Linked DNA regions of Schizosaccharomyces pombe. The gene in region 1 interacts genetically with each later gene. Each region holds a gene or a part of one and is shown in the gene's direction. Other genes may lie near its edges.

Region 1 (3,757 bases):
TTTACTATATTTGTGTATACGAGATCGCTCTCAGAGATAACAGCGATTTCTGTTCACTCTTTACTCCCTCTGAATTTTTGAATTTTGAATATGACAGTGACCTTGACTACGCATATTGGGGTGGTCCCGCTTCAGAATGGGCTTCCACATTAGGTGGGGCTTATGTTAATAACCTTGCAAATAATCTTCGTAAGGGTGTGAATAATGCTTCCGATCGTAAGGTATTCTTAGCGTTTACCCACGACTCTCAAATTATTCCAGTCGAGGCTGCTCTTGGGTTTTTCCCCGACATTACTCCTGAGCACCCTCTACCGACTGACAAAAACATTTTTACATACTCATTAAAAACCTCTTCGTTCGTTCCCTTCGCAGGAAACTTAATTACTGAACTTTTCTTATGTTCTGATAATAAATACTATGTACGCCATCTCGTCAACCAGCAAGTATACCCCCTTACTGATTGCGGTTATGGTCCTAGTGGTGCTTCAGATGGGTTATGCGAGTTGAGCGCTTACTTGAATTCTTCGGTTCGTGTTAATTCTACCTCTAATGGTATTGCTAATTTTAACTCGCAATGTCAGGCGCATTCCACCAACGTTACCGTCTACTACTAGACTTAGCATCTTATATTATTGTTAACACAATTGGGTCCTTAGGAATAATATAGATAATTTTTAACTATAGTAATAGCTTATGTATAAGACTTAGGTATTAAGGAGGAAAAGTAGAGCGAACAGAAAGTGAGCATTTATATATTCAAGAAAGACTTACGAGACATAGTATAAACGAGTTGTGTCAGTGTTTGAACAAAAAAGGAAATACTTATAGTTTTAAATGCCTAGTACGAAATCTATAACCTTCACTCGTACCGCCTTTAGGTGAAGCTAATTCTTCAATTCGACTTACTTCAAAGCCTTTCAAGTGACTCCGTAGCTTTTGTAATTCCTTTCCAAATCATTAATATTAATAGGTCGGGATAAATCTTAAACATTTCTCAAGATATAACGCGTACATTAACGATTCCTTTTGGCGTCAACAACTCACCTTTTACCACACACGAACGACACAAAAGTTTAATAGAATTCATTTAAAATATTTGAAAGTCATGTAATTTGCCAAAAAAAAAATCCCTAGTCCTCCTTTTCCATTACACGGATAAAAGAATCAATCAATCCCTTTTTTTAAACCCTTTAATATCTGTAGCTCTATAAATCAAAATGAACATTGCCATGAGATGTTCCAAATGATAAAACTAAGGCTTCGCGTAAGAAGGTGCTTCTTCTGACAATTTTCTTATTTTTTAAGATACTATCCAAAATCACCGATTTCAAACATTTTCGCGAAAAACCAGCTATCCGGAATTACCAAAGCATTAAATCTTCAATAATTAAACATGGTAATCACACCAAACAGCGCATTTTCAAACTCATCTGATTACCGCATGTGTAAGAATCTATATTCTTTGCCCACAACTTTACCAAATAACCGTATCTCAAACCTATGAATCTTCATTAAATTGCACGGGAAAATCTATACTCCTACTCCTAGTGTTTTAACGAATGCTTTTTTATTGCTAAAAGAATAGGCCATTTGCAACTTTTGAGAGAGTTTTTAAACATGTATCTCAACTGCGTTCTAAATGTCCAACATTTTTCGAGAATGTTAAGAAACCTAGTTTTCTAAAATATTCCTTCTAACCTTTCATTTTCTTCAAAATTCATTTACACCTGTCGCAATATAAAAAGGGAAAAAATTGACATACGTTTTAGGCGATGATCGCTTATTTCCAACATCGGTTTAATAATTTGAGTGTCAAAATCATAATTATAAAAATTGATGTCGATAAATTAGCTTCCTTTATGAGTTCAAACTAATTTCTTTATGCTATTACTACTAAAGCTATGCCAATGGTACTCAGGATTAAAGGTGGCCACGTGGTCAGTCTTTATCACTATTGATCTCGGTTCTTTAACAAACCTACTTGTCCATTTAGCACCCTGTAGTTGTTACCAATCAGCTATCTAATCTCGGCCGTCTCTAGATCCGTTTGGATAGACGCTATTATTTATTTTACCTAGCCCCAACTTTTTCGGTATCAGGCGAAGAAGAAGAAAAAATGAGTTTAATGTTTTTGAGGAGAGCGGGCAATATAAAAGGCAGAAATATTCGCTTTGCCCTTCAACGTGGCTCTGTAGGTTATTCTCAACAAAGCTCTGAGGCTTGTAAAAATTTCCTCAACACTACACAACTTCGTACCATGGTTCAAACTGCTGCTCTCCATGGCCCAAAGCCCATGGATAGCTCCCATATAAAAGTTACTAATGTTAAGGAGCTTAAACCTTTGCCCGAATGGAAGAGTTTGAAGTTTGGTGAGAATTTTACTGATCATATGCTTATTATGAAATGGAACAGAGAAAAGGGTTGGAGTACTCCTGAGATCGTTCCATTTGGTAAACTTTGCTTTCACCCTGCTTCCTCCGTTTTCCATTATGGTTTTGAGTGCTTTGAAGGCATGAAAGCTTTCCGTGACGAAAAGGGTGTCCCACGTCTTTTCCGTCCCATCAAGAATGCTGAGCGTATGCTTTCAACTGGTACTCGTATATCTCTTCCTTCCTTCGACCCTGCTGAGCTTGCTGAAATTATCAGAAAGTTCGTCGCTCACGAAAACCGTTGGGTCCCTGATCAGCGTGGTTACTCTTTGTACATTCGTCCTACTTTCATTGGTACTGATGAAGCCTTAGGTGTCCACCATTGTGACAACGCTATGCTTTATGTTATTGCCTCTCCCGTTGGCCCCTACTACAGCTCTGGTTTCAAGGCCGTTAAGCTTTGTTGCTCCGAAGAATCCGTTCGTGCTTGGCCTGGCGGTACTGGTCACTACAAGCTTGGTGGTAACTATGCTCCTAGTGTTTTGCCTCAAAAAGAGGCTGCCAAGAAGGGGTATGCTCAGATTCTCTGGCTTTATGGAGACGAGGACTACATTACTGAGGTTGGTACTATGAACTGCTTTACTGTTTGGATTAACAAGAATGGCGAAAAAGAAATCATTACTGCCCCTCTTGACGGTATGATCTTACCTGGTGTCACTCGTGATTCTATTTTGGAAATTTGCCGTGAACGTCTCGCACCTAAAGGCTGGAAGATTACTGAGGGCAAGTATTCCATGAAAGAGGTTGCTCAAGCTTCTAAGGAAGGTCGCCTTTTGGAAGTCTTTGGAGCTGGTACTGCTGCCCTTGTTTCCCCCGTCAAGGCTATTAACTACAAGGGTACTGAGTATGAAATTCCCATGCCTGAGGGTCAGGAAGCTGGTCCCATCACTTCTGAAATCAGCAAATGGATTTTGGATATCCAATACGGCAAGGAACCTAACAACCCTTGGAGCGTTCCTGCTTTGCCTTAAATTTAATTCTCAAAAAATACCTAACTATGTCTGTCTTTAGACATTTATGATATTAGGTGTCCATAATTATTACATATAGACCTTTCGAGGGTTAATCCCTTTTATCTTTGTTGGTTTCTCTGATTCGTGTTACTTTTCCTTTTCAATTCTTTTATTGATAACATTACAGAAGGATAGTCTTCTTGTATATAAATTTGTAAATCAATCGGAGTATTTATGAATTGTTCAATACTAGCGTAAACATCAATTAGTGTTATTCTACAGATATATTAAATTTATTCAATACACATCGTTTATTATTCATTTAGGCTAGTAAAGTGTAAAAATGTAATAGTAAATAAAATTATCTAAGCTACA
Region 2 (3,757 bases), on another chromosome or scaffold:
TGTATACAAGAATGATTATCGATCAAGTGATAAACCTGATCAGGAAGGCAAAACCCGCTCTCATCCATTTCATAACCAATTTTCAAATAGACACCACTAAACGTATGGAAAACATAAGATAACCAACCATCATAAAACAAATTTGGAATGTCAAAGCGATCTGGCAGCTCGAATTCTTTTAACTTGAGAATTTTACATGTACACGGTATCCACGAAATTGAGTCTAAAAGTAGAAAATGCGTATTGTGAGGATATTCAATATCTGCATATGTAATCGCAGCCATTGGATTTTCACATTGGCATTTCATACAAGCCAATTGGCGCTTATTTCGACGCATGCATAAAATTAGAAATTTCGATATTTTCAGAGCGAATTTGTGAAGTATTGTTGAATGAAACTTGACAACATTTGCATTATAGTTCATGGAAAATAATAACTATGTTTGCATAACACTAACAAGTATCAGAAATTATAGTTATAGGGAAACCTCAACAGAAATTAAGCACTTTACAATATGCCAAAAGATCCAGCTTGAACCAGCTGGCAAAAAAAGTAAAAATGCTGCGTTGTAGGATTAAATCAAATTAGTAATGAGAGAGGTAAATCATAAAATCCCATCGTCAAGAGATTACGAGCAATCTAATTTTGAAGGAAAAAAGCCCGCAAACAATAAATGATGCCAAAAATTCGCAACCAAGTAATGTAAACAATAACACAGCTGAGCTACTGCGACTTATGTTATTATGCTACCTATGCTATTTCCATCACTAAACCAAACTGTTACTACCGCAATTAGTAAAACATTGATGGCGGCTAAATTTGCAGTTCTTTTGCTTGACTTATCTCTGAAAATTTAATGCATGGATAACATATCTGAACCCCAAACATTCGTTTTTAACGAGCCTATGCCAACGTACCTTAACACTTTCAATAAGAAAAAGCAAAACTTGATATCACGCTACATAGCACCTATAATTCATTACAAGAAAACATAATTCATTAAATAACGTAAAACAGCTCTAGAAACAAAAAACTTATATGAATACCAAAATCAGACCAAATAACTCAACAAGACGCTATCGCGTTTCAGTGCTTGACTCTTTGTATTTGTCGATCATCATATTTTGGGAAAAGCTACATTTAATAATATGCTAACTAAAAGTAGGTCTGGCTTGATTCGAACAAGCACTCCGACAGAGTAAACCAAATTTTCAAACCTTTTTCTTTAAGGAAAAAAACCTTTGAGCACGAGACTAAGCCCCATTGTGATACATCAACAAATGGATGCGACCGTATAACTATCAACTACGACGAAAAACCACAATTCAGAAATGGCGTAATCAACCATACCGTTCGTACACTAGACGCTCAAGAAACACAACTCATAGACTGTATTCCTTATCTACTCCATTCTGGACAAGGAGTTATATCTCTTGAGGTTTAAAGTACAAAGGCTAAAGGAAAAACTAGCGCCATTAATGAAACCGCTGATTCTTCAAGTCAGCACGTTACCGCCTGTCCCAATCTCCATGGAGATCAAGACGCAAGAGTCCGGGGACTTTCCCTAAAGCTGTTTAGAGGAATAAAAATTCCTGTATGACTGCTTCAACCACGATCGTTCGAGCTCAAAGGTATCATTTGGAAAAATTAAAGTGGAAACAGTGGTATATATATTACTGACTATTTACGTGACTGTTTATAACCCTAACCTGTTTTTGGATTGAATAGATCTGTTGCTCTGCGATTCTTCGACGAGCAATTGACCGACATAGCATTTAATACTTTCAGTATATCAATGAGCAATGTTCTTAAGTGTTATCGGAGCTGTAGTAGCATATCACCTTGTAATAAAAAAGTTATTGACAGAATCCCTCATTCATAACGACTACACTGAATATCATTATTTATGAATTGTGTAATATAATGTCTAAAATAATAGTATACTGGCGACGTTATCTTCAGTTAATTTATCAAAAGTATGATACGCTAAATGGGAGAATGCATTTCAATGGCTGCCTTAGGTCAGAAAGTTGAGAATGTTGAAAGGACACAGCGCCAACTTGATCTATTTATGATAGTCCCTTTACTACCTTCCTTGAATCCAAAGTGTTGAACTTAGTTTACTTCTGCTCAAATTCGTCTTCTTCAAAGCCTTCATCCCGTAGAGATGTTGACTTCGTGGAGAACAATTTCTCTACTGCAGAAAACTACCAGTCGCTTCATTAAGCGATCAAAGACATATGCTGATGTACGTTATAACAGTCAAGCATTGCAAAATCATGGAGTTCCTGGTAACAAACGTAAATGGATGAAGAGGTTCGTATTTGTTGGTGCTGCTGGAATAGGTGTCTACGCTTGGGATCGAGTGTATAATGCCCATGCACTTACCCGTAGTATTAGAACAGTATACACCGCTTCTATAATTGCGGCTGACTATAAGTTGAATTTCAGCGAAAAAAAGGCAGACAAAATTGATGCTTTGCACCAAAGAGTAGCACAGAGACTGTTTAAAACGATTTACAAAAATGGCGGTTTATACATCAAGATGGGTCAAATCATTGCTATGCAATCAAATAATTTGCCTGAAGCGTATGGGAAAGCCTTTCAGGGAATGTTTGACAATGCACCTCAAGTTGAATGGGAAGAACTTCAAGACATATTCAAAGAGCAATATGGAAGACCAGTAGAGGAAGTATTTGCCAGCATTGAGAAACGTGCTGCTGCAAGTGCCAGTATTGCGCAGGTACATCGTGCTGTTTTACCTAGCGGTGAAAAGGTCGCGGTAAAAATTCAAAAACCAGATGTTGCTAAGCAAATGTCGTGGGATCTTCTCGTGTACAAATACATGATGTATGTTTATGATAAATGGATATTTCATATCCCTCTCTACTTTACGGTTGATTATGTCTCGGAAAGATTACGTTCTGAGGTTGATTTTACAACTGAAGCTAACAATTCGGAACATGCTCGTGAAGGGGTAGAAGAAACTGATTATTTAAGAGATAAGATATATATACCAAAGGTTTATAAAGAGATTTCTGGAAAGCGAGTAATGGTTACTGAATGGGCTGATGGCATTCCCCTCTATGATCAAACTGCTCTTTCTGAAGCTGGGATGAGCAAAAAGGAAATTTTAACGAACCTTTTCAGATTCCTTGCCTTCCAAATGTTTCATTCGAAACAAGTTCATTGTGATCCACATCCTGGAAATATCCTTGTTCGAAAAAATCAAGCAGGCTTGTGTCAAACGGTAATTTTGGATCATGGGTTATATGTATTTGAATCAGAAAAGTTTAGAAAAGAATTTGCCTTGCTTTTCACTGCAGCCTATTCATTAGACAAAAAATCTATTCTTCAGGTAATGGATGCTTGGGGGATTGGACAACCTGAGCTTTTTGCTAACCGCATGTTAAATATTCCAATGGATGAAGAGCAACCTCACACTGGTGAAAAAATTATTTCAAAGAAAGAGGCCTTCCAACAGCAGCTTGCTGAACGCAAAAAGTTCATTGGCTTCTTACAGGACTGCACTCGTTTACCGAAAGAGCTGTTAATGCTAGGTCGCTGCTTAATGCTTATTCAAAAAAATAACCAAAATTTTGGGTATCCAGTGAATAGTATAGCTGTTATGGCCAAGGTTGCTGATAAATACACTACCGACAAACCTAGTCCAACTTGGTATCAACGGCTGTTGTCGCCTATTTTTTGGGTCTTTCAACATTTATTTTACCCTGGAAATTTTCGGTTGCCTGAACT
Region 3 (3,757 bases), on another chromosome or scaffold:
ACCCTTTGCCTTGGCATAGTCAACAGCAGCGTCGACGAGAGCAGCATATTGGGGCTTCTTAGAAGCGGCCAAGATGAGAGAAGGGTTTGTGGTGGCATCTTGGGGTTTGTATTTGGCGATCGATTCAAAATCTCCAGTATCGGAGACGACAACAGTGCCAGTGGCCTTTAATTGTTCCAATGAAGACATTTTGATAAAACTACCTCAAAAACTCGTTAGTAAATACTTTTTCCAGACAAATAACTTCGTTTTTCCTAAAAAACACTACAAACATACCTTTTCTGAGTTTCTTGGTGTTCCTAAGGATATAGGTTCTGGTTAAGTTGTGTGTAGCGTGGAAACTTCCACTTAAGCATTTTAGGTACGTCAGCCAAAGTTTCTTTGAATTTGCGGAGAACTTAGCAATGTTTGTCTAGATTTAATTGATTGCTTAAGCAGATGAAAAACTTTCGATTTTACTATAAAATTTCAGAAGAAAAAAATGGAAGCTGCAGACTGTGCTCAATGCATTCTTCACCATCGAAAGTATAGGAAAAGTCGAAAAAATTTATGAAAAAGAAAAATTTTAAAAAATGGTCGAAATCAGATTGTTTTTTTGTTCCAAATTGAAATATATAATGTCAGTAATCTAAGAAAAATAATGCGCTGGTCGCAAGCGGGATCCCGAACAAGATATTGAAGAGATTGACATGACTGGGCTGATTGCAAGTAGTGCCTTAAGGTATGTATTAATGCTAGAACGTTACAAGTATAGTATTGGAAATATTTTGTTAATTGGCACATTTCTTTTGTTTGGTTTGAGCGACATGACAGCAGCAAGTTGCTGCATCGGACATGATCGATGTTCGCACAAGTGTTAAATAGTTGGACCTAAAATTGAATACATATCCATGGAAAACTCTTAAATTGGTAAAAGCATCTGATACTCTTTGGATAGGTATACTCTTCTACCTACACTCTTGTCGATTCGAATTGCCTCTTACAGTAATACAAATGAGATTAGCTTCTAAGGTATCTACAGTCTTCAGAAATGGTCAAGTTCGTAATTAAAAAGGCTTGGTTTTAACCTGTTTATGGACATTGTCTATATAATCGTCAGCGAAATCTTCAAGCATAGTGTGAGATACACCTGTATACCCATAGTTGACGAGCAGATAATCGTAAGGCCTTTTATTTGACTTTCATTACTTATTATTACTTTAATCACTTTTTAAGTAATTTTCTTCAAAATAAACCACCGATATCTCACTCGACATTTAAAAAGAGCTATCTGTATATCCACCTGATGACATTCCATAGTCATCGAGTACAGCTTTGTAGTTTTTCAATAAGACACCCATTCCCGTATCAATTTTACTTTCAAACCACCTTCTGTAACATGTTTCCGGTCAAGTTCAAAGTCACACGTGAATGAATTGTTTGTAGACAAATAAACATCCATAAACTGAGCTTGTCGTGTAATAGGAAGAGAGTCGAGTAAATTCAATGTCATTGCACTTTATAAACTTTCTTCTATTTTTTTCTAGTTTCTTTTTATCTTACCATAACATTATCATTTAGATGAATCAAGTTCAATCCCTGACTCAACAAATTCGCCAACTTTACCTCTCTTTACACTCATTATTTTCAAGCAATTCTATTTGCAAGTCCAAAAGCTTTCCTAATGCCACAAATATTCTATTTCTCACCTTTGCCTAAACAATGGCTCGTCTTGCAACTTGTCAACTCCACGTTTGACTACTTCTAGCAGAATTTATTAAGGACGACTGTGATTGTCTAAACTTGAATTATTTGATAAGTTATCGTATATTCATCTCATTCCCATTGCTGCTTTCGTCCGTATACTGATCGAAATTGGTTTCATTCTGTTACGAATAGTATATATCCTTTCAACAATATCTTTCTTCATCGTAGAAAAACAAAGACATTCTTTTTATTAAAACCCTTACTTTACTTTAAAGATGATTCCTGAGGCGTGTCTTTTCGATATGGACGTACGTACATAGTAAAATAATATGGATCATTTACGGCGTCCATGATCAACAAATACAATATTTATTATCGTTTATTTGTTTTTCATTCTACTTAAAAGTGCTTAGCCTGATGATTCCTTAAAGCATACTACTTGAAAAGCGATAAAGTGTCCTTCTATCTAACGAATACAGGGCTTGTTGGTCGATACAGAGTCAATCTACACAAAAAGCACTAGTAAGTTTTACTCTTCCTTTTCCCTTTCTGTTCAAAGGTATTGGTTAGGCTAACGGTGCGTCTAGATATCATTTTAAAGCGCTATAACAAAGGCCCCTTCTCCATGGAAGTCAAGGCTAAGATGATGGGTAAGTGGCTTTGAGCTGTTGTTGTTTTTTTCAACCTTCTAATCATTCATGCTTTAGGCCGAACTTCAAAGGAGGCCAGCAGAATCTTTTTGGATTGGTCGGGTATTGATTTGACCTGCGAAGAATACATAGCATTACAACGTGAAACTCAAGCTGAACTATGGAGGCATACAAAGCCTTTACCTGGCGTTATGAATTTGTTAAGTAAGTTGAAATCACTAAACATTCCTATAGCACTAGCCACTTCCAGTGACACACACAACTTTGAAAAGAAGTCCGCTCATTTGAGTCATTTGTTTGATCATTTTGATGGAAACATTATCACTGGAGATGACCCTCGATTACCCGTCGGTAGAGGCAAACCTCACCCAGATATTTGGTTCATCGCTTTGAAGATGATCAACGACAAGCGCAAGGCTCAAGGCCAGGCAGAAATCCTGCCAGAGAACTGCTTGGTTTTTGAAGATTCCATTACAGGAGTTCAATCAGGCCGGGCGGCAGGCATGAAAGTTGTGTGGGTTCCTGATGTCAATATTCTTCCCTTTTTTTCTCTTTCTCCAGAACAAGCTGCGGACAAGCATATAACAAAGGTGCTAAGCTTGGAGAATTTCGATGTTACAAAGGTATAGTTGAATTGGTTTCTTTCTCTTACTTTCTTCATTTATCGCTTTTGCTTTATATCTTTTTTTTTGCTCTTTATTTAAGACGCAGCATGCTAGCTGCATTATTTACTTTTTATTCTTCGTTTTACTGATATATTCCCATGTCGTAAAATCTTTAAAAATGAACTCTCATCAAACATTCCAAATCTTTTTTGAATACTTTTCACAAATAACAATCATTACAAAGCCCTCATCCTTGATTCTTTCTTCAATCGTTTGAAAGTGTCTCATCTCCAAGTATCATTTTCACTACGTCTAACACTAGCTATCTAGCAATTTTTCTAAATGTTACTACACATGAGGTATTTTAAGAGATATTGCTTTTCTTATAGTTTGATTTTCAAGAATGTTGACTTTTACAAAAAGTACCTTTTTGGCCAGCACTCCATCATTTAGATGAAAGCACTTATATATTAATAAGGTAAAATTAATCATAAAATAAACAAATAAGTAAAAATTTTAAATTAATTTAAAAGTTCATCCTTCATTTTAGTACTCTCTAGCTGGACTTAGTTCTGTTGGCGCTTATTGGTGAAATTTGCCTGTGTCTTTTCCATATGCCACACCTCAAAGAATCCTTTTTCCAACCACCAAGGATACTATTTCTTTGCTAAATTCCAGTGGTAAATCATTGCCATGGGGTATTCTTTGGGGTACATCGGGGAGCATTGGGAAGAATACCGGGCTGTATTGTACATAGTCTTGCTGCTGCCTGTACTGATCCATTTTCTGATTCGACGAAAAACCCAATTGTCCAAT

The links.
Region 2: mutations in eca39 (region 1) and SPOM_SPAC10F6.14C together harm fitness more than expected from each alone (negative genetic interaction), as found in Schizosaccharomyces pombe (one large-scale study listed by BioGRID).
Region 3: mutations in eca39 (region 1) and SPOM_SPCC1020.07 together harm fitness less than expected from each alone (positive genetic interaction), as found in Schizosaccharomyces pombe (one large-scale study listed by BioGRID).

Annotation. Positions count from the first base shown.
Region 1 is NC_003423.3:442,274-446,030, reverse strand, and holds eca39 (branched chain amino acid aminotransferase Eca39), read left to right. Parts: upstream 1-2,094; 5' UTR 2,095-2,116; coding exon 2,117-3,400; 3' UTR 3,401-3,687; downstream 3,688-3,757. Other genes in the region: thiamine-repressible acid phosphatase Pho4, read left to right, coding at 1-614. UniProt on the Schizosaccharomyces pombe protein: Catalyzes the first reaction in the catabolism of the essential branched chain amino acids leucine, isoleucine, and valine.
Region 2 is NC_003424.3:1,232,335-1,236,091, reverse strand, and holds the start of SPOM_SPAC10F6.14C (ABC1 kinase family protein), read left to right. Parts: upstream 1-2,050; 5' UTR 2,051-2,168; coding exon 2,169-3,757. Other genes in the region: SPOM_SPAC10F6.15 (uncharacterized protein), read right to left, coding at 1-425.
Region 3 is NC_003421.2:769,930-773,686, reverse strand, and holds SPOM_SPCC1020.07 (pseudouridine-5'-phosphatase), read left to right. Parts: upstream 1-1,723; 5' UTR 1,724-1,961; coding exon 1,962-1,994; exon of another isoform or gene 1,995-2,165; coding exon 2,166-2,208; exon of another isoform or gene 2,209-2,273; coding exon 2,274-2,336; intron 2,337-2,393; coding exon 2,394-2,965; 3' UTR 2,966-3,412; downstream 3,413-3,757. Other genes in the region: tal1 (transaldolase), read right to left, coding at 1-189; wybutosine biosynthesis protein Tyw1, read left to right, coding at 3,635-3,757.